2 linked regions of the Medicago truncatula genome follow. The protein of the gene in region 2 binds, or shares a complex with, the protein of the main gene of each other region. Links are inferred from orthologs where the notes say so. Each region holds a gene or a part of one and is shown on either strand. Other genes may lie near its edges. The genes, in order: nucleolar complex protein 2 homolog and nucleolar complex protein 3 homolog.

The links.
Region 1: nucleolar complex protein 3 homolog (region 2) and nucleolar complex protein 2 homolog share a complex: the UniProt entries of both Arabidopsis thaliana proteins name them as parts of the nucleolar complex. The link is inferred for Medicago truncatula from reciprocal best matches to the Arabidopsis thaliana genes AT1G79150 and AT2G18220.

The regions. Positions count from the first base shown.
Region 1 is NC_053042.1:53,572,095-53,588,143, forward strand, and holds nucleolar complex protein 2 homolog, read right to left. Parts: upstream 7,236-16,049; 5' UTR 7,126-7,235; coding exon 7,071-7,125; intron 6,986-7,070; coding exon 6,873-6,985; intron 6,279-6,872; coding exon 6,207-6,278; intron 5,092-6,206; coding exon 4,546-5,091; intron 4,129-4,545; coding exon 3,826-4,128; intron 3,528-3,825; coding exon 3,198-3,527; intron 3,117-3,197; coding exon 2,910-3,116; intron 2,808-2,909; coding exon 2,721-2,807; intron 2,250-2,720; coding exon 2,155-2,249; intron 2,056-2,154; coding exon 1,912-2,055; intron 1,771-1,911; coding exon 1,527-1,770; 3' UTR 1,310-1,526; downstream 1-1,309. Other genes in the region: VQ motif-containing protein 8, chloroplastic, read right to left, coding at 9,848-10,420. UniProt on the Arabidopsis thaliana protein: Together with SWA2, probably involved in pre-ribosome export from the nucleus to the cytoplasm.
Region 2 is NC_053048.1:32,673,096-32,689,934, forward strand, and holds the start of nucleolar complex protein 3 homolog, read left to right. Parts: upstream 1-9,316; 5' UTR 9,317-9,369; coding exon 9,370-9,536; intron 9,537-11,093; coding exon 11,094-11,263; intron 11,264-11,370; coding exon 11,371-11,564; intron 11,565-13,125; coding exon 13,126-13,334; intron 13,335-13,474; coding exon 13,475-13,577; intron 13,578-13,836; coding exon 13,837-14,000; intron 14,001-14,848; coding exon 14,849-14,987; intron 14,988-15,262; coding exon 15,263-15,442; intron 15,443-15,525; coding exon 15,526-15,662; intron 15,663-16,761; coding exon 16,762-16,839. Other genes in the region: uncharacterized protein, read right to left, coding at 197-219. UniProt on the Arabidopsis thaliana protein: May be required for synthesis of 60S ribosomal subunits and the transport of pre-ribosomes from the nucleoplasm to the cytoplasm. Also required for initiation of DNA replication.

The sequences.
Region 1 (16,049 bases), on a different chromosome or scaffold from region 2:
TTTATTCAACCTCTCTTATTTCAAATTCCTTCACTTTGGATCTTTTGTAGAATCTAACAAAGGAAAAATGCATATGTGTTCTACTGAGTTGACAAAAACATACTTATTAAAAAATTTAAATTGATGTTGCGATTCTTTAATTGAGTCTAATTTGTCGTAAAATAATTACCCCAAAACTCTTAATTCTTCAACAATCCCGCAAAATTACCAGCAACTCACATTATTCCATATACTCTCAGGTAAAAGCACACACTCATTTTCTTTCATTTTTCTCATGTTAAAATTTCTTTTTTATTTATTTTTTTTTCTGGTTCATTTTCTCTATACTCATGAAATAAATCAATATAATCATCTCTTCATGAAACCCCATCAACCAACCTTTTCTACCATTTTGTGCCTCAATATTACTTTATTTGATTATGTCACCAAATTACAGAGGTAGAAAGTCTCACATTTAGGAGAGAGAAGTTAATTCTCATAGATGAAAGGAATATAAACATTCCTTCATGAAATAACCATCAATCAACTTGTTAGAACATGTTGTGTCTAATTTTGATCTTATTTGACTACTTAACATAATTACGGACGTAGATAGACACACAATTGATTAGGATATGTTAATGTGTCAAATACGAGTTAACGTTATACAATGGATGGAATAGTAGATTTTGAGCAACATATATGTCAGATGACCAAAATACCTAATGTTTTAAGGTTTCATGTGAAGTTGTGGTGTCAATCTCATTTGTATGGTTGCTATTGCCCTAATACGATCATCCAGCCCAGTGAAAAATCACCTAGAAATCCCAATATTATGCCAACATTATGATAATTTATTTTGTTAGTTTTCGGTTGTCAATTGTTTATTTTTTTTATCTTGAAATTTAGTTATTGGTTGTTATTCTCTTTCATGCTATATTTTTTTTTATTCAACCTCAACTACTTCAAATTCCTTCACTTTTATTCTTTGGTGAAATTTGACAAAGGAAAAAAGCATGTGTGTTGTTGAATTTACAAAATAAATTCTTATTAGAAATTTTAAAATAACTTAACGTTTTTTTAGTTAGTCTAATTTTTTGGTTAAATATTTACTCAAAAATCTCCAACTCCTTAATCAAACCAGTAATATTATAGGCAATTCACTCTATTCCTTACACGCTCATAGAAAAGCACACACTCCTTATCTTCCTTATCATTTCTCTCATGTTCAAATTATTTTTTTATCTTCTCATTTCATAGAAAACCAGTAATTTTTTTATTATATAACTTTTGTTTTTGGCATATTAGAACAGGAAAAGTACATTTTCCCTTGACAATTTAACTGTAAACAAAAATATAATTGCAGCCGTCACCATTACATTTAGATATGTCAATAATCTTTACTTCCAAGGTAAAATTGAAAACAATTTCTTATAAAATTACAAAACTTTTCTCTCATTAACCCAATAAAAGTTCGAATAGAGATAGAGGTCGTTCTGTCAACGAAGAAGATATAGAGATTGCAAAGTAGACATATCACTTTTCCCTTAGGTGTGAGATTTATTCCTTTTCAACCTTTTTGTTTTATGCTTTGTCTTGCGGTTTTGTTTTGGAGATGAATGATGATCAATATCGGCATTTTTCCCAGCAGAAGGGCTGTCGCTTGAAGGCAAATCTTCATCTTCATCAGAACTAAGTACCAAGTCCTCCACAACATCATCATCAATGGCAGTTTTTTCTTTTTTATGCTTTTTCCTCTTTCCTTTTGGTTCAGTAGGCTGTTGTTTTATCCTGAAAGCAAAGCATTCCTCAGATAAAAAGTAAAAAGAAACCTGTGTTTATGTCATCGTGTAGTATGTGCACAAATGTACGTGTGTTTGTGTATGCAGCTGGGTTTGTCAGTGAAAGATGAACAAAGAAAAAGAGCAATACTTGTCATTTCCGGGTAACCAGGATGAGCTAAATGCAGCAGTTCCATCCACGTTCTCTTTGGCATCCTCGTTCTCTTTAGTATCCTCCTCATCACTTGCTGATTCTTCATCACCAAAAACAGAGGATTCTTCTCCAACAAGAACACTGGAAATTTTTAAGTTATATAAGAAACCTATATGATAATGATGTATGCATGTTGGACACAGTAATCCATGTGAATGGAGGTGATTTTAAAATTCAAACCTGGATTCCTTTAATGAGTCGTTTTTTTGTTTTGCTCTCTGGCGGAGTGTTATAACATACTTTGATAGTGCACTAGAGGCTGACTTCTTCTCATCCTATCAAAATCAAGTTGACTGTTTACAATTCTCAAATATAAATGGGCATTTAATTTAAAGTAAAGTGACATTGAGGCGTGAAATAAGTGGGACGATAATCTATACAGACTTATATAATAAAATAAAGGAAAAGAAAACGGCAACACAAAAACATTAAACATCAATAAAATGACTTCATTCAATTCCCACCATACGATAGTGTTTAGCCAGATATATAGACCAAAATGAAATAACTCAATAGCATCATCAATCACTTCATTGGTCTTCAGTAATAAAGTAACAACCTATAGAAGTTTATTTGCTTAAGGAAAAAAGTTTTATGCAGGTAGCAGAGAGCTTGGAAGAATTGAAACATGGAGCAGACTACAATGTAAGTAAACAAATGAATGAAAAAGGTCAACCAACATCCAACAAGGAAACAATCAATACTCTCACTCATTCCTTAAAAGTAAAGAGAAAATCTGAGCAAACCTCAAGAAAAGATGATGCCGCAGGATCATTAGGTAGAAAGGAAATTGACATGCGCCTTTCATTCACAAACTGGACATTAGCCTCAATCTGAGTGGAAAATTAAATATTAGAGATGAATGCCACAAAATTTGATGCATGCCAATGATAAAAGTAAAACATAAAAGGTTTATGATCATTTTAATAAGATACCTCGCGAATAAGCTGCCTCATTTCTCTTCGAAACCTTTCAACTTTGGTCAATTTGCAAAAGTTGCGCAACCTCACAATTGGGATAAAAGACAGCTCCATGAACCCAACAGAGTAACTCCATAGTGCCAGGTGTTCCGCAAGTTCTTCAACCACAGAAAAAACACAAGCCTCTTGAAATGCCCGTGTCTTAAGAGTTGGCTTGCTAATCTAATATGAAAGAATACCTCTAAAAGGTTAGGTGGATTTAAAGTTATCAACAAATGCACGATTTCACCAAGTAACAAGTACCTTCAATATGCTGCGTAAATCAACAGCTTTGCCAACACCTCCTGTAGGGGGTCTATTCAACTCCTTCATCTCCAGCATATCCAAAAGGAGCATAGATACTGGTACAAAAGATTGGGTAGAAGCAGCAATCTGGTTCAACATCCGGATACATCTCAACCTAAGGGGAAAGTACCTAGCTGTGGGAACTAGACGGGCTACTCCAAAAATTATTTGGGTCAGTGGATATGCAAGTTGCTTAAAATCAGATTGTGAACTATAAGCACGAATAGCATCAGTCCAAAGCTCAAGAGAGTTAATGAACTTCCATTCATAAACCTTGCGAAAAGCTTCCTAAAGAAAACATTCAGACAGAGAAGAGCAACGTAAGAACCATAAAATAAAATTGTCAAAAATGCATAAACAATTTGTTTTGATTAGTGAAAAGCTCCAATCAAACACGAATAAAACAAATCTATTAAGGAATGTCTGGTCACATTTCCTTTACTCATTACTAACGAGATACGGAAGTGTCAAGCTAGTCAGGATAGATGAATTGTTAGGATTGGTTCCCTCTAACAGCAAAATGTTATGAGGCACTTCTTACAGTACCAAGGAAGAAAATAACATATAGTGAACAAATAAACAGCACCTTAGTTTTTGTATTAAGTGCGTCCCTTAAAATCATGGCCAACTGTCGAATGAAAATGAAGGCGTGTTGATATGCAGTCGGAAGATCCACTCCGAGAAGTTCAATGACGCAGTTGCTAAGAAAACGAATATGTTTAAGTTTCACAGCATTTACGAAATGGCAATTCAAAACATAGGCTTTATATATTCCTTTAAAGCAATCATCTATGCAGCCAGATCCAATACAGATGCACAACTCTCTCATGAATAGACACGAAACAACAGGAAGGGCACCTCCACCAGTACCCCAGAAATGAAGAGACACCTGATAATTTCAACAAGAAAGTGATTTACCAAATGAATAGACATATGTTAAGTTACATGTCCTAGCAAGTCACAAATGTTCTTTACATTGAAGCCTTTTCATTCACATTACCAGAAGTATATACTTACAGGGGAAAAAAACTGCATGCAACAGAAAGTTTACCGAATGATACTATTCTTAATTTTGTTTAAGTACGGAAAAATGTATCATTTATATGATCCAGATTTCAGAAAAATTTAGTTGATTTCTGTCCATCTATTAAGCTTTCTCATCATTTACTGCACAAGACCGAATGGTGCCACAATCACCAAGCATTGGAAGACATATTCAGCACAGAGCCAGAAACTTAAAATTACTAATGCTCATCTATGAATTTTGTAGTGAACAATGATGAGGTGACCAATGAACTCTTTGTACCTTAATATATTTCCTTAGGAGTGAAGGAAAAGCAGCCAACAACAATGAAGAATATTTTAGCCGATGTAAAGTAAATGATATCATTTGTGAGTCAGTCATTTGATTCAAAACGTGGAGAGCATTTCCAAGGTAGGACTTCACAATATGGCCATAAGTCCTCCATTGTTTTGTGGTCATCAAATTCATTATGATCTCTTTTCTTCCACCAGAAGCAGGAAGCTTCAACAATTTTCTTAGTATTCCATCCATTTCATTAAGTACAGTCAACATTATTTTGTTGAACACAACGCTAGACATTACACTAAGTTTTGCCGTAGAATCATTCTCATCATCATCACCATAGTGGCATGCTGTCCTAAAAGCCCTCATCAGGGAACGAACCGCATTTAAGCTCCCATTTTCTTTAATTGATTTGCACCACAAATCAACCATAGAAGTGGTTATAACTTTATTAGAATGTTTTTTATCCTTTGCTTGAACCTCATGCTCAATAGCCTTCTCATCTTCCTGTGGTTCTCCATCTTCCATGTCATCATCCACATCTTCCTGGATAAAAGAAGCGAAACAGTTATATATAGTTTCTATTGCTAACAACGCGTCACACTGATAGCAATTTAGTAATGCATGCAAATAGTTAACAGAAAAAAAAAATTAAAATACAAAAAAATAAAAAAAAATAAAAAAAAAAGACTGAAACCAATATCTTGAGATTCCCTACAAATTATGATCACTGCACCAAATATAGTTGATGAACGTGAAATCCTATATAACATAACAGCAAAAAGGAGCAATCTTGACAATACCGGCATTCCTCTTCAACCAATTTAAATTTACCACCAAACACTCAAGCACAGTCCAAATTTTTCTATCTTGATTAAAGGATAGATCATAAGTTTCAAGTAAAACCGATTCAATAAATATCATGACTCTACCCAAAGTGTCTTCTCAAAATCTAATAGGAGAACCATAACCTGAACCTAAAAGATATATAGCCTATAGGTCTAAAAAATACAAATCCCAAGAAACAAAAATTGAATCTGCAGGGATTGGTGGGTTGGTGGTTTACCAATATGAGCAACGCCATATTGAATTTATGATCTTGATAATGTGTGCCCTGAGGGCACATAATAATGAACCCAAAATGGAACTTTTGCAATGAAAAAATAATTTCAAAAGTTGAATGCACGACTTTCATGATGAATGCTTCTTTATTTAGTTTCTAAACATGTGCCCTTAGAGCACATGTTAGCATTTGCCTTGAATTTACATTTCGTTGTGTTGCGCCACAAACATGGCTCTAAAGGGAAACCAGTTACCCATCATTTATCCACTGCAATGACCTTTTTAGGATGAAAAAAAAGGAACAAGCAATATTGGGTAAACAAACAATGCAAGCTTAGCATCCACATCTTTCTAATAGAAAACAAACAAAAGTATGAAGAAGTAAAGAGATTGATAACCAATGCAAGCTTAGTAGCTAAGAAATTTTTTCCCATATCTAGGAAGGCATTAGAAGATACTGCATATTATTCATGATAACCATTTGGAATACACATCTCACATCAACGGCTCAACGCATCACGGAACCATATTCATCTCAATTAATGTATGAAGCAAAAACAAGACAGATATTAGATAGGAAGTGTCAAAATGAAACATACATCAATATCGTCATCACTGAACTTAAGCAGATCCGGGTCATTCTCTTTCAAGTACTCATAAAAATCTTCGTCCTGCAATGGAAAAGGTTGTTAATAACATTGCTAACAGAATGTAGCCCAATAAATATATAAAAGGCAATTTCCTATCAACCACCACCTAGTTCAAATTTCACACATACAAGCATTTGAAATGCGAATTAAATTATCAAAACCTTTACTTGTCTTAGTCTACGTCTACCCTATGGACATGCAATATGTCTAATTTCTCTAATAAAATTATACAAGGGCAGACGGCCTAGAGATAAACATTGCTTGAAACGACAAAACTTATATTTAGCTATTAAGGCCCTGTTTGGACAAGTGGCTTACTTGCAGCTTATAGCATAAGTGCTTCTTATGTATAAGCTATTTCTTTGGAAAAAGATAAAATAAAGTTTAATTGTTTTCGTATAAGCTATTAGTTGTTTTCATAAGCTATCTTAGAGAACTTATGAAAATAAGCCGAAAATAGCTCAGACATTTAAATAAAACTTAAGTAACAATATAAGCTGAATAAGTCAATCCAAACGGACCCTGAATTAAAGAGAATCCTACAAAAAAGAACAAGCAAAGTTGCATACACAGGTATCTTAGTATACTAAGAAACAACAATGTAATGGGTCTAACCTTGTGCTGAAGATTTTCTATTTGCTCCTTATGTTGTTTTGCTTCAATCACAACCATCGAATTTTTTTTGCTCTTTCTTTTTACATTATTTTCTGCTCCATCCACATTAATCTCTAATATAATCAAAATAAATAAATGAGACGAATTAAAAACGAAAACATAAAAAAGTAAATTAAAATAATGAAAGAAAGAAAGAACCTTTATCAATTTGTGTTGAAACTATTTCCTTCACCGCCGCTTTTCTTCCAACCATCGTGTTGCAATAGAAACGGCGTTGAATCGAAACTTATTGTTTTGCAGAAAGATGAACAAAGAATTCGTAGCTTATTACTTTTCAGAAACAAATTTAGGGTTTTCCAACAAGAAAAACATATTTGGGGTTTAAGACAAAAAATAAAAAATAAAAAAAAAAATTAGGTTATTATGGGTTGGGCTTCTTGTTTATTTTGCTAGTTTGTATCTGGGCTTATTAAAGAAACAATAATAAAATTACTCTTAAAACATCTTTAATTGCTCACATACACCTTGAAATGCCAAAAATGCTCCCATCAGGTTTTAATTCCCGGTCGTTTGGGATCGGGAATTACGTCTAGTTCACTCAAGATTGGGACTTACGAATCAATCTGTTTCTAACATTGCCCAGCTCACTTTTACTACACTTTTCTATCACAACCTACTTGCTATTTCATCCGTTCTTCCAAAACCTTTTTTTTGTTCCAAAAAGTGTGTCTCAAATTATCAAAGAAGCATTGGCAAAGGATTTCGACACATATTTAACGTGATTAAGTAGATATTGCTTCTTTTAACCCGTATATGTTGCTGGTTTTTGGCAGATTTTCTTGGAACTTGATGCGACGAACTTGTCATGAGTTAAGAACCGATCATGGGATCGGGTTCTAACTCATTATCCATTCAACCCCGATTTTTTTATTCATTCATTTGTGTTGCATTATTTGATGTTATTATTTTATAATTCAACTTTTTTTCTATGTTTTGTTATTTATAGTTATGGTTGAACATTCGAGTTGATAATTTGTTAAATCAAAATCAAATATTGTTGAGTAATTAAAAATTTGGTGAATCCCTACATCATATTTAGGTTTCCATGTGCAATACTTCTAAAAAAAAAAAGTAAAATTAAACAAATAAAAAATATTGACATGTTAAGGAATATAGATTAGGGACTAATAGGAAACACCAAATTAGGATAAATATTGGATTATATAATTCACTTAGAGGGAAACTCTACGTAATAATTACTACAGTATAACAGAGGTTGATTACAATGGATGGAATGTATAAGCTCCTTGTAGAAATGATACAACTAATTCAGATATGTTAATAGTGAAAACTATCCCTCTAATTCCTTACTCACACTCATTCTATGAACATGCTTAAGAGGCATATCATGGACATAATCAAGATTACAATAAGAGAACAAATCAATAAGCAACAAACTTTTGATACCTAATAAGTTATAGGAAGCAAAACTAACATTACAATCACATTCTAAGCCTCCCGCGCGTGGTGCTTCAAATGTGGTGACGGTGTAATCCTTCGTCATTTCTGTGTTAATTAAAAATTTGTAGCATTTTCCCTTAAGAAATCTAACTCAATTAAACTACAACTTTTTTAATTTGGGCCAAAATCTAATCCGTTCATCTTCCTTCCTTAAATTCGTTATCAATGTAACCAAAGGTCATTGAATTCCTAACTACCATGTCTTATGCAGACATCAAAAAATTATTTGATTATTAGCTTGTGCAGTAGTTCATTTATCTGAGAATCTATCCTAGAAGCCACATAGCTGTGTTTTTTAAACATGTCTTTATTATAGATATAGATTTTACTTGCAATTATCAATTAAGTTATCAATTATCCATAGCTGTGGCACATTAATAGGCATCAAGGAGTTTGGGCCCCTTCTATTAGGTTTTTATCCTTTGTTGGTCAAACCTCTCTTTTATTACTATTATTATTGACTGTTGTCATGAAACGTAGCTTTAATATAAATAAATATTGGGGTCTTGCCGGTGGCGTGTTATAATCAATTGACAATTGCAACTCCAACCAAATGTTAAATATTGGTAATTGAACTATAGAAAACTTCAAATTGCAGTTAAAAATAAATAAAAATAGTATGATAAGGAAGGAGTTGACTTTTGCTATTGCATAATGCGTTGTACAGCTCTTCATCAAAGGGGATTCTAATCTGATAATAATCCATTGATAGATAAATCAGATAATAATAATAATTCAAACAACAATATAACATGTCGACAAAAATCTTAAATTTGTTCAAGTGATTTGGCTTAAGGGTCAATGAACTTCATCAAAAGATGAATCGTTCGATAGAATTTCAATTTGATTATTGAGTGAGATATCAAATTATATTTAATTAATAAAGTCCATACCCCAACAAATAAAATGATTAACATAAAATATATATATATATATATATATATATATATATATATATATATATATATATATATAAAATACCGACAACAATCCATTAAACTTATTGCATTGTCTTTCACGTTGACTAGCTAGATGCTTGAATTCATCGATCCATTAGTTATAATTAAACACGTGATAAAATTATGGACCATATTCGTGGTTAGTTTGGTTTCACACAATACTTCTTCTTCCCCTTTCTTTTACCATTATTTAGCCTGGGGTTGGTAAGAGGAAGACGCTAAATATATAAACAACTGCTAAATTGGAAGGTGAATTATACACTAAAAAAACAAGACTGAATGAAATTAGTGTAACAAATTAAAGCCAAATGAATAATCTTTTGCTAATTCTTATGTCTAGAAAGAATGAATTAAATCTCCTAGTAATTCATGTCAATTTCTTATGTCCACAATACAACAAACTTTACAAAAAAATAAATATGCAACAAATTAATTAACAAATAAGAGACCAGCCTAATATAGCACACAACTTGCACCTATTAGTTGATGAATGAATTAATATTCAGGTAGATCTTGGATGAATCCCAATCCAGAAGGAGATATCAAACTTCCCAAAATCCCATATGGAGAATCAGAAAATTTATACACTGGTCGTGATGATGGAGAGCAAAAGAAATCATGTGAAGTTGGAGTGAATAATGGCATATCAGCAAACTTCATCATATTAGAAGGACTATGTTTATAATCAACATTGCTATTTACACCACCCTTATCACAATTCTCATCAATATTATATTCCCTCTTAATAACCGAACTAGTTGAAGTAGTTTCATCACCATTATTGTTTGATCCATCAGACAAAGATGACTCAAAATTCTCAGAGACTTCTAGCTGACGTGGAAGTACTTGATTGGTAGTGGACATGCCTGTGAGACTTTGAACAAGAGCCATGAAATCTTGTGCTTTTGTATGAATAACTTTTGGTGATTGTGTGTAAATGATTATGGGAACCCTTTGTTGTTTGTGTGATGAATTAGGCTTGCGTATCATCAAAGGGGAAGGACGAGGACCATTGATCATATTCTTTTGTTGATCATAAAAACCATGCAACTTTGATTCAGGCTTCATTTTTTTGTTCAACTCAATATTATTGCAACAAATGTTTTGTTTTGCTAAAAGGAGAAAGAAAAGTGAAACTTGGTGAATAGGGAAGAGAGGGTAGGTAGTGTATATATAAGCTTATATTAAGATAAACTATTTGGCCAACAATGCTGACCGTTGACATTGGAGCTACAACTATCAAATATAAAATTTGAGATATACTATAGTTGATGAGTTGTGTTTTTTGATTTGACCGGTGGAGATTTTGAACTTCAAGTATTCACTATTTGAAAAGGATTTTACTTACAAGATACGTACAAGAAAGTTGTTGATTAATGTTTACAAAAAGCAAAACAATGAAGGACGAATATTTGAAAAAATACAAATCATTTAATTATTTTTAAAAATATCATTTACTTTGTTTTCTCTCCCAACATTTTTTTTTAATTAAGTCTTGTGATCATGCAAAACTCTCTCTTATTAAAAAAATAATTCTTAATGATTTAGTGCGAGCTCCAATACCAAATATTTAGATGTGTATAGGTCATTTATATGCATAATAATTGTGTTTCACTTATGACATAACAATTAAAATCTAAATGGAATAACTATCAATTTTAACAACAAAACAAAAAGTAGTGTTAAAAAATATGTGATAGAGAGAAAATTTCTTGCTGCTCTTTCGGTCTTATTATAAGTGTTATTTTAGATACCACACAACACAATTGTTAAGAAAATGATTAATTTTATTGTTTTTTATGGTAAATAAATGTTTAAAGACTAAAATACTCATATTGGTTATAGTTCTTAAGTAAATGTGAGTATTTTCATAAAAAATAAAATAAAGGTAAATGTTATTATTTTTATCATTTATAAGAAATAAATGCAAATGCGCTTACTACCTTAGTCCCTATTTTGAAGTCCCTTTTGGTAAAATAACAGGAATTAAGAAAGTTGATATTTGTATTGAGTTTATTAATAATCACAAGCAGCAACAACATATTTAGATCTAACGTATCAACCAAGTGTAAAGCAATATAACAATCGAACCAAAGAACAATCAAGATAAAGAGAGTGGAGTATAGAGAACAACACCAAGGATTTGTTCACCCAGTTCGGCCCAACGATGACATATATTTGGAGGAGAGAGATCTTCAATTCACTATCTAAAGTTCTTTACAAAAAAAGACAAGAAATTAGCTTTAACAAGTTCATCAAGAGCAATTATAATTTCTACCATTTTTCCGAATCTCTTTCGCATGATCAAGAAACTCAACGATTTCACTATCCAAGGTGTTTCCCAATTGTTTTCCAACACTAGCACCACAATTTGCTCTCATACAATATGAATCTTGATCCAAAACGCATCACGATTTTCCTAAGACTAGAACTCCAAATTTGAACCAAATCGAACCACAATTTCGCAGAAACACAATCATATGTTTTTAAATCAAAACTCAACGATGTAAAGTAATATTTATTATTCCCATTGTTTTCTGTCAACCCATTTGGTTGCACTATTTTTTTTATTCTCGAATTAACCTGTTTGGTTTGTTTATTCATTAATTAGTTTGTTTATATATTAGGCACACATAGCCTAAAAAAAGAGTTTAGTACACAATGGACCTCCATAGTTGTAACTCTTACCCACCCGGCCCGCAGACGGCGCAAAACATTTTTAACCTCCACATATTTATTTATTTTTTTAAAAAGAGACCTCATGTTCTAACTTCTAACTCTAAAATTACGTAGTATGATCTTTTTTTGACTGGAAATTATGTATTTTTTTTTTTTTTTGGACTGAAGGAAATTGTGTAAGATATTGTTGACGCGTTTGTAAGTTGTATTTTTATATGTAGAATTTGCTTTTCTATTAGTACTTTCTTTAACGCACCATTTGAATCTAAGATCATTGCTCTTTTCTAATTCTTCCACTATAGCTATAAAATAACATTTAAAAGTAACCATATTGAAAATTAAAAGCTTGTTGTAATGTTGTTTTATTACTCTCTTCCTTGTTGGCAACTGTGTGGTTATTTTATTGAAATTTCAGCAGACTCGACCCCCTCCTCCAGATCAAAGATATATATATATATATATATATATATATATATATATATATATATATTTTATTTTTATTTTTTTAAAATGCAGCAGATGCAAATAAGACGTATATGAGCTCTCAAAAAAGATGTATATGAATATTTTAACAAAATGGCGTATTAAAAATAGGTTAACTTCTTAGTTTTTTAATACTCCTTCCGTTTTAAAATGAGTATCGCTTTAGCCAAAAAAAATTATTTCAAAATGAATGTTATTTTACATTTCCAATACAACTTTAATTTTTTTCTTCTAACTTTTCTCTCACACAATTTTCAATGTAACTTTAAGTTTGTCTTATTCTTATAAAGTAAGGTTATTTTAGTAAAATTGTTATGACATTTGACTATTTTATTCCATTCCTTAATCTGTGTGCAATTGGCCAAAACGACACTCATTTTAAAATGGATGGAGTATCTTATTATTTCTCCTGAAATAGGAAAAGACATGGAATCTCTCTATTAGACTTTTCGTCACACAATAAATCAAAGATGGTAATAATGATTTTTCTTGCTAGAAAAATAGCAATAATACTTTTTATTGGGAAAAACTCAAGTCTCACATCAGATAGATGAAATTTTTGATGAAAATTTATAAGGAGGATGCACTCCTCACTTCACAAGCCGGTTTTGTGATGATGAGTTAAGCCCCAAATTTCAACATTAGAGCTTGTCGAATTCAAGGATCACCTACCTATTCACACACCAAGCCCAATGAGTGATGGGCGTGAGGGGAGTGTATTGGAAAAAACTCAAGTCATATCAGATAGATGAGACTCTTGATGATCGTTTATAAAAAGGAGGCACTCCTCATTTCACAAATCGGTTTTGTGAGGATGAATTAGGCCCAAATTTCAACATTCTTAAAAGTAAATTAAATTAAATTAACAACCATATGGGGGCATGGACTTAACTCTGAAGAAAAGGAATAAAAATAAAAATAAAAATAAAAATAAAAAAAGGAAAAACAAATACAAAAACAACATTAATGTGTATTATGAGATTGAGTGATTGTTAAAAATGGTAAACGAGATGTTTTGGTGTACGACAGATTCAAATCAATGACATTTGCCTCCACGATGAAAACATATATTCTCATTAATTTAAAATTATCTTTTACGAGGCTAATAGAGTGATTGTAACTCATTTCGTAAGAGATAATGCATAATATATGCATTGAGGATCAGACCCAGAACACCCCACTTATTCACCTTTAAGATGAATTTCTCTAACCATTAGATTATCTCAAAAAAAAAAAAAAAAAAAAAAGTGATTGCAACTCCAACTTGTGAATGGGTCTTAATTTGTTGGAAGCCCCTAGAGGAGGGGAACGGTTAAGCTGAATGGTTGTGTGGTTTTGCTAATAGGATTGAGATGTGTAATGCTTATATGACAATAGCTATCGGAGAGTGTATAAAGGTTTTGTATGCTAGAAAGTCGGATTTCAGACGGTAGAGTTAAATATGAACTCTTTAGCGGTTGCTAATGTTCTTATAAAAAATGGAAGTGATCGTCTGTTGGAAAGTCTTTAGTTGAGAAGACATCGCTTGCTTGAGTTGGAGGTCGTTGTGAAACAATCTTTTTGTGAAGTTAACCAATTCACGGATGTGTTAGCCAATCATATAAATTCTTTAAAGGGAAATGTTAATTACGACACAAGTTAACGTGACCCTTCTTTAAATGGTGGATTTTTTGTTATGAGTCATATTGGACCCAATTCAATTATTTTCTTCTAGGTAATGTAATGGAAACTGTTATCCTTCGTTTGATTCTAGTTTAATCTTTTTCCAAACATGAACCTTTTTGTAATATTTATTTATCATAAGCCACTAATTTTTTTATTTGTGTTCATATAAAACAAGTTCTTTTTCTTTTTAAAGAATTTTTATGGTACGTGTTTGATCCATTTTTTTGTCAGATGGGAATCACACAACTTAAGTACGAATAAATTAAAATATCGCATTCAAATTCGCATCAGAACACATTAAATAATCCTTCAACTGCGAACTGGTTTATAATACGGAATTATTTAAGACTTACCTAATGTTTGAGCCTTTATCTACATATACTAGGAAGTCAAAAAAGAATAAAAGATTAAATATATACTTTTCATCTCCTATTTTTTTTAAATGAGTTTTTAGTTCACTATATTAAAAAACAATTTTTTTGTCCTCAATTTCACTTTTTTTTTTCCTTTTGAATTTTCCCTCACCTCATTTTGTTTCATTTTTACTGATGTGACATAGTATTCATTAATTATGTGACATCATTTATTCATCATTTTTTGTTGACATGGGTATTTACTAGTATGACCATATAAGCTCGGTCACATAATTAATGAATAAGCCGGTGTCAACAAAATTCACCCATAAATGGCATGGGGATGAAAATTATAAAAAAAAAAAATTCAAAAGTGCATTTAAGACAATAAATAATAATTGTACCAAAAAAAATAAAAGAGACGATAAAACATTTGTGGGATGTATGTATGGTCGCCGTGGTGGAGGGGGTTTTAAAATCAATATTATAATTATAGTAATTAGTTTTGCTCATTTCATAATGTAAACGGGCCAATTAAAAGCCCATGAAGCATCTTGAAATTACTTCCCCCTGTATCTCACGACCCCCTGGAAACGCAATAACACCCTTTCTTTTTTCTTGAGATTTTAGAATCGAAACCCGAAAATTTTAATGAGTTATTCGCATCTGTAATATTAAGATTTCATTTTACATATCTAAATTTTAAAATTAGAATGTGAAAAATTCTAGAATTGCATTTTGCCTTAAGAGGTGTTTGAACCATGTAAGTGCTTGAATTCTAATATAATATTCATGTGTAAAATTGATATTTGGTCATTCGGATTTTAAAATTCAGATGTATAATAATCCTGAAAAAACATCTGGTCACGATTCAATTTTGGTTAATGTTTATCCCTTGGACAGATAATAACTAATATTCATTTTATTTTAATATAGGTGTCATTTAATATATTTTTCAAACAGAAAAAGAACTTGAGCATAACAAATTTGCATAATGTTTTTTTTCTTCTACATTACCCCTTGATGAATCAGGGGTAATTTAGACCTATCAAATAAAAATCCTATTTTTTTTTACTATCAAATACCATTTTCATCTACATAACATCATATTTCTTCATATGCTTCGTTTAACATCGGATTTCCATCTCCGTCGTTCCATAGTTGGATCTTACAAATTACCACTAATTCATCAAAAGGTAATGTAGGCCTCACAATTTTGATTTTTTTTCTTACGATTAATTACCATTTTTAGCTCAAGAACGTCGAACTTCTTCTTCTCCTTCATTCAACATGTGATCTCCATCTCCTTTGTTCTAGAATCGAATCATAATTGTCATTAGAGGTAAATTACCACTGATTCAACAAAGGGTAATGTACGCCCCACCTTTGAAAGTGATTCGGTTGGACCTAAAGAGATGGTTGGTCGGTTGAGAGCCACTGTGTGGAGGGGTCAGACTTTGATCTATCCACCGTGTGTCAGGTTTTGTTGAGTCGTTCATTGATGGTCCTTCTCCATC
Region 2 (16,839 bases):
GGATTAAAAAATCTCAAAAATATTGAACAAATCATACTCTACTTTTTGAAACTAAATTTGAAATATGAATTGTTTGATTTTCATTTAATGATAATTAGATTCATGAATCATTTAACCATGAGACTCCATAAAATCTATGTTCAACTATAGGTAGCTTGAAATGAATTTAGAACAAAAAAAGAAAAAAAAAACTGACCCAGAAACGGTATCAATCTTCATACGCTTTCTAAGTACTGAAAATTTTGGCTCCTTTGTGTATAGCTTTGAAATTTGTGTTATTTTTTGAGGTTTAAGAGAGGTTTTGAAATTTGTACTATATTGAACAATTGGGACATGTAAACGTCATCACAAACGTCACTCTTGACTTGGAAACTAAGAAAAAATGTTGAAGTGATCAATTTAGTATTTACGTCATCAAACCTTTCTACAAAGGGAAATATGGATTTTTCTCTCACCATAAAAAAAATTATATATTTTGGATAGGCTTGATGACGTGGCTAATTTTGAGAATCTAATGCAAAGGCTGTGGGCTTCTGGGGTTATGACACGTGGCAGTTGTTGTTTCATTGGTGGCAGGCTGTCAAGAGCTTTCTTCACTGTGAAGGGCTTCCTTTTTATTTGGTGATGTTGTTTGCAGCTTGCTTTTTTTGAACAGTTTTGTTTCCAATGCATATCTAGATTCATTTGTCTTTGTTTTTATGAATTTTTTTCTGATTTGCTTTCATCACACTATTATTGTTAAATGATGGTTTTTTGTTATAGGATAGATGATGATATATGTCGTGTGATGTATTGATAGGTATTGAAATGAATTTCTATTTGTGGTATATTTTTTGGTTAATATATGTTATTCCGTAATATTATCGATTACTATTGTAAAAAATGATTTAGATTTCAATTACGTAATTCGATGTTTCTTTAGTTTTAGATTTTAATGAATTTTGATTTTACAAAATTGATGATATTAAAGTGGAAGAATCAAAATTTGCTTAAATTACAAAAGACAAAAGTATCTTAAAGTTTGAAATTTGATATCATATGGGTTTAAAATCGAAGAATCTTCAAATTACAAGGTTAAAATCTAAACAAATTTTTTTTACAGATAAACTAAAAACCGTTAATAATATAGAGATAAACATATATTAACCCTAAAAAATTTTACACGTAAAATTTGTAATGTGATTTTAATTAATTTATTGTAAATAGAAAATAAAACATATATTATTTACCCAAAAAAGATAAATACTATAGAAACCAATAATAAAAATGCAACTATATCCTGACAAAAAAAGATGAAACTATTGTTTTTTTTTAAAGAAAAGAAATGGAACTATATAAAGTAAAAAAATGTCCGTTTAATATTTAAATGCGAGGAAAGATATATTAACTCTAAGAGTAAATCTCAAAAGTTATTCCTGATTTTCCCCTTAAAAAAATTACTCCTAATTTTAACTCTTGGTTTTACTTTAATCCAACGGTTTGGCATGTGTTATAATTATCCTCACGTGAGCACTTATCCGGTAACTACCACTTGATCTTTAAACCCCTCCCCGTTTCAAAATGATAAGGTTCGATCAAATTCTTGAAAATACAAATGTTCTCTTTTTCATTTTCTTAATCTTTTAGATCTGCTAAAAATAATCAAACACAAACCTTAATTCCCTTCCGATCAATTAAGATTCATGTTGTGTTTGAAATTATTTAACTTTTATTGTGTACATTTTCACCGTCTCTGGTAGATGGGTACGTATTGTAATTTCGTTAAACATGGTGTTCTCACTCTCAAGAGTGAGAAATACTTAGTTAAGGACAAACACAAATGTAAAAGGTTTGGGCACATTTCACACAAATGCTTTTTTTTAAGATAAATTGGTTTAATGATATTGAATGATTTGACTAATTTATTTATTATTTAATTTTCTTCATTATTGTATGTGTGCCCAAATACTAATAGAAATCATATTCATGTCATAATTTGTATTAAAATATAGTAGAATAAATTTTTGAGAACCATTCAATTGGATCACACGCAAAATTTGAATACACTATCTAGTCCTACTAGTGTTTTGGCAAAAGTGTTATAATAGGTGTGTGGAATTTTTAAGAGTGTATTTGTAAGAGTGCTATTAAATTAACGTTGTTATATGTCAAAATTGAAATAGTCTTTTTTTTAGTTCAATATCCAAGATTACGAAAATGAAATACAATGTCTATTAAAGATTGTCTTCACACAAATAACATAAAAATACCAAGTCTGAGTTGTTTCACAGAAACATTGAAATACGAATATTTATTACACAACACGATATTTTCAAATATTACAACATTTACTAAAGCCTTTGTTTGGTCTTTGGTAAGCCTATCGTTTTCTCGAAAAATTTTAATAGATCGGAACTTCTCCGCGTGTGGACCTTTAATGAACGCTTCATGGTTCGATTAAGAGCGCCAAACGAAGCCAGGTGGCAGCACACTCTCACCAGAAGCAATAGAACTCTTGTTCTTTTTCCCTCTCTTGACTGGTTTCATAAACATAATTAAAGCTGCAAGTTTAATTTCACAATGTTGCAAGTTTCACAATCAAAATTGTAGTAGTCTATCTTGCAAGTCAATTTAGAATCCTTCTTTTTTTTGTTTGGTTGAAGTGCAACATCAATAGTTGACAATATAAAAATATATGCAATCATGTTTTTGTTCTCTCTAAATATACAAACTTCATAAATTCACGTGTTTCATATTACATTTATTTTAGCCTATTCAAATCAACTTGAAGGTAACTTATGAATTATATATAACTAGTGTAGGTAATTAATATGGTTGTTGTTTAATATACGTTGTAGTTAGACTATTTACATGTGAAACAACACATAGTTGTATAATAATGTATATGTTATAATATCATGTTTTGATATGTGCAATTGAAAAGTTGGGGGAACTCATTATGGAGCATTCACCGTGACAGATATCAGATAAAAAGTTGAGGAAGTTGTGTAGTGAAGCAAGCTATAATGCTGACAAAGAAGTTTCAAACATTCTCCATCCAACTCGTTCCCTAGGGATGTAATGGTGGAACTATCACGGCAGCAGATCAGGCCGTTAATTGGCTCCTTCAAGAGTATGAGAAAATTCCACTAATCAAAAGTTGTTTACAATCATGTTACATATCTATCTGCCAGTGATAATTTAGCATTTTGGAGTTTTTAATATGACAATTTTATTAATTTGAATCTAACTACTAGTAGATACCAACATTTGTTTGAAAAATAAAACAAATGTTGATGTGATCATAAAAAAAAAAAAATAGAAGAAACATTTATCGTTGATAGTTAACAAAACACGTGAACATTATTTTCATTGAAAAAAAAAAAAGAAAAAAAAACACGGGATTGTTTCACAGTGATACATATTTTCATTTATATCTAATTGATGAATCACAAATAACATAACTTTCAAAAAGTTTTGTCAAAAAAAAAAAAAACTTTCAGAAAGTTACAAATTACTTATTTCTCAACTATAAATTATAAACGAGATTAATATTTATTATAAGACATACAATTACTTTTTATAAAATTACACATTTTTAAGATTGATTCTTTTGTAAAAATAATTTGCCTTTTTTTTTTCTTATGTCGTTTATGTAGAACTAAAAAAAAACCATTCTTCATGTGAGATATCATAGAAATTTCTACAAATCAATCAAGACTAATGAAAATAAAAACATTTACACTATGTTTGTTTCTAAGAAAAGATTATTAGAGGGAGAGAAAGTTAATGGAAAGAAAGATTCTTTTTTTTTTTTTTTTGGTTGAATTGCAACATCAATAGTTCAAAATAAAAACATGCGCAACTATGTTTTTGTTCTATCTAAATATACAAACATTATAAATTCATGTGTTTAATATTACATCTATTTTAGTCTATTCAAATCAACTTGAAGGTAACTTATGCATTATATATATATACTAGTGTAGTTTATAAATGTCGTTGTTGTTCAATGTACATTGTAGTTAGACTATTTACATGTGAAACAACACATAGTTGTACAATAATGTATATGTTATAATATCATGTTGAGTTACGTAGTTTATAATGTTTTTTTTTTTTCTGTATGAGATGATAATATGTTCTTGGGCAATTATCCTTGAACTATTTTGCTAATGACGCAATATTTCTCATAATACCTCTTCGTGATTGCACACGCTTTTTCTTGTACTCTTGATGGCACAACAATCATTTGCTTGAATGAAATTTTATGTCTTTCTCTTAAACTCTTTTTTAAACTATTTGAATATAACTAATTAATTTTCATGTCTTAAAAAGCTTTGACATGTATTGTTGAAATAAATCATTAAGATATGTAACACAACTCAATGTGTGTTTTGTCACAAAACATTAATTATAATCTTGTGCGGTTTTCAAGTTATTCGACCATGATTGTTCAACTATAAACATGTTCTTCCTTTAATCTTTAACTCTTGTGGTAACGAGGTTGAACCAATGAATCTCATATTTTTGTTAAATATTCAATCAACAATCTTGTGATTTCATCAATAGTCTTTTGGCATCTTCTATGATCTTGTGATGTTGTTGTTGTAGTATTCTCATGCTATTATAATTCTCCCATTTAGTATATACACGCACATGTAAAGATTTCTTTTATGTCTACTTCTGTTAAAAGACTTAAGTGTAAACATAATACTTAACCTTTATTTTATAAGGTTTATTGTGACATCAAAATGATTTTTGTTTCAACAATCTCTCATTTTTTTATGATGACAAACTTTTTGAATCAATCTTAAGATTTATGGATAAATATAGTAAAAAAATGTAAAAATGTTCTTATGTATGCAATTAAGCTCCCCCTAACACACGTGCAAAAGTTTAATTCATATCATTCTAATTAAACTTCCCCTAAACATATGCAATAGGTTAATTCTTAACATTCTTCATCGATTCTCCATACGTCATAGGTTTCTATCCCATCACATATATTTTCCCCTTTTTGGTATCTATAAAAAAGTATTGGGGATGATATGAAAAAAAAAAAAAAAGAATTATAAATGTGGGAAGCATGAACACAAATATAATGTACATAGGGATCATGTATATGAGGAGTCATATTCTCATATCAAACTTAATCGCTTGCTTTTAACATACATTTCATGTATCATGCTTAATATTCATTTATCAATACATGAATAAAGACAATTATGATCATTTGATCTAGTGCAACAATTTTTGGAATAGAAAAAAATGATTTATTAGTGGATGCGATAAAATCGAAGTCATTTGTAACAATATCAAAAATATTTCTCTCTTCTGAATATTCTCATGTTGAGGATATTTATAAGTTTTTCAAATGATTAAGTTTGTTAAAGGATAATTCTAAGCAAGATGATTTTCTCAATTTGATAGAAATCAATTACATGTATTTCTCAAGAATTTAGATATTCACAATCAAGCATATGATTAAACTTTATTGCATGTGTATGTGTGAGTTCTGTTATGCGCTTATCTTTTAAGTTATTATGCTTAAACGAGATTATAAACATATAAGGTAAGTTTGTAGAGATATATTTATGCACATATATATTGATGTCAATGATGTTACATCACTATTTTTGTCTCCAATTTTTGCAAGTGCATCAATGTAAACATTTGACAATACTGATCAAAATTTTCATGTTAAGAACATACCTAGTATGAGTTGAAGAACAAAATAGAACATTTTATTCTTAGACCAGTTTTAAAGTTTACAACAAAGTAATACATATCATACTGAAACTTAATTATGTATTATGTTTCTTTTAGAAATGTTTCAAAGATAAATCCTAAATTCGAATCCATTTGAAATCATGTTTGAAAAATTATATTTTCATGGGTTAATAGTGTTTTACCCCTTGTTATATAGGTCATTTTCGGGTTTGACCCCTGTAATATTTTTTATTCGGTCCTTGTAAAAAAAATTGTTTCAAAATACCCCATAGGCCATCTAACTATGCATATTTGCTGATGTGGCACGCTGAGTCACATTTTTCTGATGACGTGACACGCTGACTATATAAATAATTTTGTTTTTCATTTTTTTTATGGGTATATGTGGCATATGTGACTATTTTTTTAAAAAATGAATATTTTTTTTTTTGCAAAATTCATTCTTTTTTCAAAATTAAGAAGATTTTTCCAAAAAAAATTCTCGACCTTTATATATTTCAAAATTTCCAAAAATTATAAAATAAATCTGAATTAAATTAAAATTATAAAAAAATTGAAAATATAAAATTATCTAATTTTTTTTATTTTGAAAACTAATTTCTAGAATTTTATTTTATTTTTAAAAAATCTTCAAAATTTCGTAAAACAAATATGATTTTTTGGTGGATTCTAAGGTGAAGAATCAATTAAGTCCCTCACCAGTGTACCGCTAATTTTAACCATTAGATTAAATACACTCATTAGTTACTACCGCATAGGATCTAATCTCATCTCTTTGCAATTTTTTCTTTCTATCTTTCCTATAAACTTCTGCATTTACGCAAAGAAAACTGTCTCCATCCTCACATTCTTGTCTAAAATATTATGGTTTGGTTTACTCAATTGCCACTCTAGATAACTTTTGTTTGATATTTGTATGGACAATTTTTTATTCAAAATTATAAACTGAATTTGGGAAATGTTATTTTATTTGCACTCATTTTTGTGCAGGATTAACAACAGAGATCTATGTGTACTTAAGTTTGATATCAATTTGGTTTCAGATTGTTATTTGAAAAAAAAAATTCAATAAATTTTCACATCACTTCACAATAGGGATTCATATTTTAATCTATTAATTTTTATTGGCATTTCAAAGCAGCAAAATTGAATAATTTTTTTCTTTCTAAAAAGGTTATTTTTGGAGCCATTTATAAATGATCGAAACCACCATTGATGTAATGTTATGAAGGCTTTGAGAACAAAGAAATAGAAGGGGCAGAAGAGGCTAAATAGAGAAAAAAAGAAGTGTGATATAGTGTATACGGTGTATGGTATGATGTAAGAAATTAGATCAATCCGATGACTTTTAATGCTTTTTTTTAATTTCAAAAAAGATTTTATAAAAAATTATGGAAAAAAATCTGAATTTTTTCTATTAAAATTTTGGAATAAAAAATTATCTATTTTGTTTTTAATTTTTCAAAAAATATTATCTAAATTCTGGACAAATATTTTCAATTTTAGGAAAAATATTTTCAATTATGGAAAAATATTATCTAATGTTTTGTTTTTTTTTAATTATGAAAAATATTTTCCAAAATTTTATTTTTTTTATAAAAAAAAATTAATTTCAAAAGAAAAATCTGAACTTTGTTTTAATTTCAAACCTGTTTTTCTAATTATTTTTAAAATTTTTTAAATATATTAAGTTCCAAAATTCTTTTAATTTTTTTTCCATAATTTTTTTCAATTGTTTTTTTAAAAAAATGCACAAATGCCACATGTACCAATAAAAAAAGGAAAAAAAAAATTAATTATACAATTAGCGCGTCTCGTCATCACAAAAACGTGACTTAGCATGGCACATCAACAAATATGCACAATCAGATGGTCTAAAGAGGTATTTTGAAACATTTTTTTTACAATGACCAAATTAGGCATGGCAATGGGGCGGGGTGGGGACGGGTTTTACCTTCCCCGTTTCCATACCTGATTCTCATATACTTACTCGTTACCCTACCCATACCCAACAAGGATGAGAAATTGAATCTCATCCCCGTCCCCGACGGATTCGGGTATCCCCTCCCCATCCCCGTCCTCGCATTGAATATTTTTTTTAATAAAAAATAAAAGTTTTTTTGCATCCCCAAGAGCAACGTTGTAATACATTATCCAACAATAAGCTCACCTTCACATTTGTTAGACAAAATTATTTAGTTGATCCTTTAAATATCAATGGTAGTTTTTATTAACATGACAATTATCAAACAAAATAACATAACATATCAACATAAAATAATTTTTTACATTTGGGACGATGTTTGGGTATGAGTTCGGGGTGGTACCTATGTACCCGTTACCCGTCCCATACCTGTGTTTTGAGATTGGGGAAAACCCATACCCATACCCAAACCCAGTCAAAAAGGGGAAAACCTGTCAAATTGGGTTTAGTTCGAGCGGGTAACCACGGGTATGGGTTTTGTTGCCATGCCTAGACCAAATCAATTTTTTTTTTTTACAGGAGTCAAACTCAAAAATGACATATATTACAGGGAGTAAAACACTATTCATCCTATTTTCATTAACCATATCAAAATATTTGCAAAAACCATATTCAATATATATCACTTAAGAACAAGCAATGAATATGTTAATGAGTAAACTAGAACAAATTCATGAATATCATCAAGTTTTAAACTACTATGAAATTTCAAAGAAGACATTTTTATGATCTAAGTCTAAAGTCTATCATGATTTGTCTTTTAGAAAAAAAATTATAGTTGATCCATGTAAAGAAATGAGAATGGTTCAAATTACAGCTCATGCAAAAACTTGTTTAGAAATGTATTTTAAGAACATTATAATGACTTCATTCAAGAATGCAAAGAGTTGAACTTTGCTAAAATGATGTTGAATCGTTTAGCATTCATCAAGGTATCTCAAAAGACATAGTGTGAAATTACATAATATCATGCAAAATTTACCCTTGACACAGCATCATCTCCTTGTATAATTTAGAACATTAATTCACATTAAATGCATTCTTAACATGTTTTCTAAAAAAAATATTAAAAAATTTGGCAGGATAGACTTAGGCCTAGCAAAACCTGATCTATTTTCACCCTGCAAGTCGGTTCAAAATCTCCTATTTTCTTCTTCTTCTCAAAGTACAACATTGATAACCGAATAAAAAAACATTCACAGGTATCGGTTTTGTTATTTCTAATATACTACAACTTTAGATTTTCTAAAAATTTTCATTTAATAAATAGATTTTCTAAATTTTTCATCTAATTTAATGAGTTTGGGAATACTCTATTTAATCAATTTAAGAGTTTGGATGAAAGACACGTGGCAAACAAACATTCAATGGAATTTTAAATTAAAAATAAATAAATATTTGTTTAATTAAAAATAAAAAAACGCTCTCCTTCTTCTCAAACAGTACGCATCCATTCCTCTTCCTCTTCCGTTTTTTTTATTTTTTATTTAAACAAATATTTGTTTATTTTTTAATTTAAAATCTCAGCCATTGAATGTTTGTTTGCCACATGTCTCTCATCTAAACCCATAAATAGAGCATACCCGGCAGGTACACGTGTATCTCTCATGTCATAAACCCTAATTCACAAAACCCTTTCTCTCTCATTCATTCATTCAAAGAAACTCGCAACCATGGGCAAAAAGCAAAAGCAGCAGCCGAAAATCGTTCTTCCGCCGGAACTCCCACCGGAGATTCACGATGATGAAGTCGAGTATTCCGATGACGATGTCAAATTCGTCAACGAAAATCGTGAATTTGCTTCCTTGATTTCTTCCTTAGACACTAAATCAATCACCAAGTGAGAAATTAATCCCTTTTTCTATTCTCCTTTCAATGCTTCATTTTTCATTGTAAATAATTGTTTCTGGGTACCCTTTTGTTTCTGAAAAAGGGAAAATAAAACTGTCTTTTTGATAAGGTTTTTTAAAGGGTTTGGATATTTGCAGATTTAAAACTTTGAAATTTCCATAGTCATAAGCTATATAGATTGGCATTGACTATAAAAAGTGTTTTTTTATTGATTATGATTTATGGGTCCGTGTGGATTGGCTTATTTGAGTTAATTTACTGACATAAGCACTTCTGAGACTGATTTAGAGAGCTTCTAGAAACAGCTTATGAATCTTTGAAGTTGTTTTCAGCTTATTTCATTCAGCTCTCTTACATAAGTTATGAAAATAAGTTATTGCTTGTATGAAAATAAGAACTTGTTTGAGCTAATCTACTGACATAAGCACTTGTGAGACTGTTTCACTGAACTTATGAACGCCTTATGTTGTTTTTGTAGATAACTTATGCAAACAATTTTTAGCGTATATGTAAATGGTTAGGCTTTATTATATCTTTTGTTAGATAAATAGCTTATATAAAAACACTTAGGGCTCATTTGGATAAGGCTTATTTTGAGCTTATACAAAACAGCTTATGTAAATAAATGAGTTTTTTTGTATTATTATTAAGCTTGTCGTATAGCCAACATTTTTTGGTGTTTTACTTTATAACTTTCATAAATTTTATTTGATGAACTGATCTCTATATGATGAATACATCATAGGCTATGGATAAACTCCAATGAAGCCTGTTTATGTCATAGTTACACTGATAGAGAATCATTCATCCTTTGTTTCATATATACCTACTTTCCTTTGGTTGTGTTTTTTATTGGCCTTGTCCTACTTGAAGCAATTTTTTTCCTCATTTTTCGAGATTAATAATGATAATATAAAGAAGCTTCATCTTTTGTATATTTGGACTCCTGATACTTGTATATGATAGAAATGTAATATTGGCAACTTTGCCGAGGTGATCAAAACCATATTGGTTTCCTCTTTTTCCCTGTTGCCAAAACTTGAATGACTGGAACTAGTTTCATGCTATTCTGATTTATATTGTCAGTACAGTTTTCTAGTGCAGCCAACATATATTGGTTTTTTACTTTATAACTTGTGTAAATTTGATTTGATGAACTGATCTCTATATGAATATAGTTTATGGAAAAAAAAAGTTATGAAGATACAATTTTCGTTTGTGAAAAGTTATAAATTAACATAAAAACTTATTTATTTGCATAAGCCATTTTTCATAACCTCAAAAATAAGCCAATCCAAACGGGCCCATGAATCTGATAAGTGCTTATGCTATAAGCTATTTATCCAAACTGGGCCTATTACAAAAACTTTCTGAGCCGGCATTTGCTTATGAGAACTATTGAGATTTAACCGATGTCGTCTCCTTCTTGTCATGTACAGTGTGGAAATCACTTCCAAATTGTAACAGTGTAGCTCATCTTAATATATTTTACCCATTATAGTTATGAATTTAACTGACGTAGGATATAATTTTTGTGTATCCTAAGGCATGTTACACGGGTTGCTGATGCTAAAGACGATGCTTTGGAGAAACTATATGAGCAACGACGCATGAAAAAAGATGCTAAAAAAGAAACAGAAGAAACAGGTTTGCAGGTTGACCGAGTAGATGCTCTTCCTGTCAAGTCCTTAGATGGAGAAGTCTATTACCGGACAGGTATATAGTGTTCTCTTATATAGAATTTGTGCATTGTCGTCGTTTGTCATTCTTTTCTTTCTTTTACTTGTTGATCTGGTAACATATGCTGTTCTCACATTCTGCAGCCACGCGGACGGCACCAGTAAATGGTCCAAGGAAAGAGGAAACTGAAGAGGATGACAATGAAGACAAAGGTTTTGTGAAGCTAACTAAGGCTGAAAAAAGAGCCAAACTTAAGAAAAGTAGAAAAGAGGGAAAGAAACAAGGGAAAGAGGTGGCTAAAGAAGAAGTGGAAGAAGCACCACAATCAACAGTTTTGGTATATTACCTATAACCTGTTTAACATTATTAATTTAACATATTCTTTGGATCCATTTGATTTGCTAATGAGGGATTTGACAAGACAATACTATTTGCTTCATGTTAGATTTCTAATATAGTCACAGGACAAAACAAGGTTTTTGTTTCACTTTTGATTTTGAAAATAGTCGCAAACAAAACTTTTCAAAATGAAATGCTAAGTATTATCCCTCCTTAACTCTATTACCTATTTCCATCCCCTCTGCTATTAATTCAGATTCCATTCCTCCGGAATTATTATCTTCTTATAAATTCTAACTCGGATACTACAGCACCTCCTGTCCCAGGAGACCCCTAACATTCATCTATGCAAACAAGTTCAAAGTCCGTAATTCATAAAACCCAGATTAGTTCCCACTCTCCTTACACATTTGGAACCTACCACCACTCCCTTTACACGTCTGAAACCTACCATAGTTACTTACTTGGCTGGCACTAAGTGGTTGGCAACGATGCAGTGTGAGAATGATGCATTCATTAATAAAAATACTTGTTGCTCTTCATGCACATAGGCAGGCATTCGACTGTAAATAAGTATTTTAGGTAAAGGGTAATCCACATAGAAATATTAATAAATACAAAGCAGAACATTTGGCAAAAGGATTTCACCAAGAACTTGATTTCCACAGTATAGGAACTTCCTCTACTGCTGTGGAACCAGTGGCCAATAGAATAGGCCTTACCTTAGCACTAACTCATTGGCATATCTAACAGCTAGATGTAAGTATACTCCTAAAAAGATTCCTAGATGAAGAAGTAAATGCAACAGTCTCAAGGGTTTGAAAACTAAGTAATCATCAGTTCATAAGTTTAACAAAGCACTATATGGGCTCAAAGAGACACCCAAAGAATGGTTTGTGAGGCTGGCTTTTGCAAATATTAGGCTTTGGTTTTAATTCAAGACCATCAGGTGTGTTTCATCCCTTTTCACTCTTCATGGTTCCTCATAGTCTCTATGTGCTGGGATATGTAGATGATATGATGATAATTGTCATAGGCAGATAACCCAGTTGATGGAAGGCCAAAAATCCGCCATTGCCATACAAACATGCCACTGCGGCTTATGGCGCCACCATGGCGGGCATCCCTTCACAAATTGCTTAAGGCATACTGCACAGTTAATTGTCTGTGTCACTGGTAATGACCAAAATTCTGCCATATAAATGTGGGATTGCGACCTATGCCGCCACACTGTCTATGGTGGCTGGCACAAAATTGACCACATCATTCCACCATGATGTCACCATTGTGCCGCCATTGCTTCTATTTAACAACCTCGCTTTCATGGAAGTTAACTAATTCTGTTATAATGTTATGTCACTATCGGAATACTCTATAAATATCGACTCTTTGTACCTCTCGTGGTATGAAGTTTCTTGGAGACTCATTTGTTTTCTTTCTTCTCTTATTTACTGACATTGCAAATTCTAATATTTCTCTTGAACTGCTACCTTTTGAGAGGACTTTTTAAGTCATTGAACTCAATAATTTATATAATTTGTCATCATTTCATTGTTTAGGATGAGGTTAAAGAAGATCTTAAAGCTGAAGAGAATTTTGAAAGTAAAAAGTGTAAACTTGCAGAGTTGGGAAATGCCTTAATAACAGACCCAGAGTCCAATATTAAATTTCTGAAAGATATGGTACAGCTATCTAAAGATAAGGATCTCACCATTGTTAAACTTGGACTTCTATCCCTCTTGGCTGTTTTCAGAGATATTATACCTGGGTATGATTAACTGTCATACATTATAATTACAATGCTCATTCTAAATGCAATGATATTATAGTCTGCATTTGGTTTTTTTTTTTTCGAATTAATTCTATTTTTAATCCTTTAACTTTGACATCAATGCATGCAATGTCCAGCTATCGAATCAGGCTTCCTACTGAAAAGGAACAAGAAATGAAGGTTTCAAAGACTGTTAGAAAGATGCGTTTTTATGAATCAACTCTTCTCTCTGCATACAAGGTTTATATTCATGTTTGACTTCTATGTAAATTCATTTTATTACTTGATTTAGCTGAAATAAGTTTGTGCTGTTAGACATGACTTCCTGTTCCAGTGCTTGCACTGTGGTTCATTGTGTTGTCTTTAACCGTACATCTGAATTGGTCAAAAAAATTATGATAGCTTGTTTAAAATTATTTACAGAGTATAAATTTTATTAGATATTTGTGTCACTAACTTTTTTTTTTTCTCCTTTGCTTCTATTTATACACGTCATCAGGCTTACTTGCAAAGGCTGATAGCCTTAGAAAAGCTGCCTTCATTTCAGCTTGTTGCAGTTCAATGTATTTGTTCTTTGCTTGATAAAAATCCCCATTTCAACTTTCGTGAAACCTTGTTGGACGTGACTGTCAGGAACATAAGCTCCAGTAATGAGGCTATAAGGTGTTGTAATATCTTTACTATTGGCCATTATTATACTAATGTTTCTCAAGTATTTATGTAATTTCCTATTGAAGAGCATGGATATTAGTTTCATAAACTCAAATTTTAGGCTGAAGAATCCATCATTGGAAAAGGAAACTACCTGCCATTTGGGGCATAAGGGAAATTTCGTGGGTAATTGGCTATTTGGTGGATTAAAATGCTAAACTACCTTGTGTAGTTCAAGTCTAGATAAAAGTTATTTATACTTTCCATCTTGGTTGTCAATACCGTGGAATAGTGCCACAATCACATTTGTCTTCATTTGATTTTTTAAACGCATGGAAAAAACGTTTGCATTCTTTCTAAATGGAACTATATTTATGCCATTGATGGGGGTAATAACATGTATTATCTACACATTAGCTCCAAGCAGTTGAAATGGTGTTGGTAAGTATATGAAAAATGTTTCCAAATTTGAAGAGCATACATTATAAATAAGAACGCCGATCTTAAAGGATGTGAGTATTATTGTTGACATTGCACTAGGTGTAGAATTTTACAACCCCATGTCCGTGTCAATTGAAAACTATGTTTCCCCGTTACAAATGCGACAGGCTTTACTGGTGTGTAACTTAAGTATTTTTTTTATTCAATAGTTGCAAGTTATATCTTATTTCATTGGCTCAACTCTGGTCGGTCAGTAGCCAGTATGGCTTCTATATGTTGAGGGTCCAAGACCAAAAAAAATTCTCATGGTTTTCCAGTTTTTGTTTGCTCATATAATGAATATTAGCAATGATCTATTTTTTGTTTCTATATTTGTATGCATTTATACTTGCTAAGATATTCTTGTTTTTGTTCTGCAGGAAATTTTGCTGTTCCACAATTAAGTCACTCTTTACAAATGAGGGTAAACATGGTGGTGAAGCTACTGTGGAGGCTGTCCGGCTGATTTCTTATCAAGTTAAAGATCATAATTGCCAGTTGCACCCTGATTCCATTGAGGTATGATACAAGTCCTATGCTACCATCCCTTTTTTTTTCAATGTTTTACCAGAAGTCCTATACTTCTCAATCTTTTGTTTTTTGATTCAGGTTGCTATTGCACATTTTTGAGTGTGATGTAATCATGATAGCTATTTGAGTTTAACTTATTTGATTTGAGTGTGTGATGAAATCATGATAGCTATTTGAGTTGAACTCATTTTATTTGATGTGGAATATTTCACTGAGCATAAAGCTGTTAAGTGATGTTTGTTCTTTTCAATGCTTATATCCAGGTTTTCTTGTCTCTTTCATTTGATGAGGATCTTGCGAGGTCTGAACAGATGGAAAAGGATAAAAAATTTAAAGACAAGAAATTTGGTAAGAAAAGAAAAAATACGGAGGCATCAAATCAGTTGCCTGAAAATGACAGAAAGAAAAGCAGGCAAGAGTCGATTTCAAAGACAAGAGAAGAGGTGATTATTTTTCCAATAAGAATCACTCTGTTCTGGATTTTTGGTTGATAGCAGAAATGAGATTCTACCAATGCTTGTTGTAGGTTGAAGCTGATTACAAGGCTGCTTCCTTTAGCCTGGATGTTATGGAGAAGAGACAGATGCAAACGAAAACACTCTCTGCTATGTTTGAGATATACTTTCGCATTTTGAAGCATACGATGCAGTCCATAGTTGTCAGGTGTGTTTTAATCTATATCATGTGTATTACTATATTACTATGAAACATAAATGTTGATGGGTTTGTAAATCCTGTTGCCCATATAATAAGATAATTGATGCTTTGATATATGGACGGCTGGCTTAAATTAAAATGAAACTGCTATAATAATAAAAAAATGGCATTCAGGTAAAATACATGCTTGAAGAATATGGATGCGTGATCCCCTATCATGTTCTTGAATCTTGATTCAAAATTCCAATTACAATCAATATGCGGACATTGCATTGACTTGATAGCATGTATTTTTACCATTTTGACCAGTAGCTTTCACAGTTCTTGGTTTGTTCTTTATGACCACTTGTGAACAATACTCATAATTTTACCCGTGTAACCAATTATTCATACATGCCTATAGATTGTTCACTCTAGTACAATTATCTGACAAAAACATCATCAAGAGTCTGTCTGTATAATTTGATCCCACTTCGTTTTTTTGGATTTGGATCCTCTAAAGTGAGTAAATTAAAGTGAGAAAATCAACGGTTGGAATTATTTTTACAACCGTTTCCACTTCCAAACCTTTTCCTTTCTGCAACCCCCCTTATTTTTTTTCTCTGGAAGAATTCATTGCACACACTTAAACTCAGATCCACAGTCATTTTATATATGCTTATGGATCCTTATGTTGGAATTATTTCCATCTCCAATTTTTTTTTGCACTATTGGAACTTTCAAATAGTTATTTTTGAGCTCTACCTATCTTTTTTTTGTCTACGAAGTGAACTTCATTCTGAAGTTTGTGCGTGGCTGCAGCTGTGAGCACATGTGCATGTGGAAATTTTAGTTATTGTTCCGGGCAACTTGAATATGTAACTGAAAGGAAAATGAAGATTAATGAGAAATCTGTCGGTTTAAAGATGATGCCTTGGATATCTTTGTTTATTTCATATTCTACTATGTTTTGTTTTAATTTTCTTTTCATTCTTATGTATCTTCCTATGCTTTCATTTTTCTCACATGCACTTTCTATTTGTGTTTAACTTTTAATAAGTATTGGATGAGAGTTAATCAATTCTATTATCATGGTTTGCTAATTTTCTTTCACTTTCTTGGTCAGGCCTGAAACAAACCCTGGGGCACTTTCTGCTGCAGTTGGAATGGAACCCCACCCATTGCTTGATCCATGTCTGAAGGG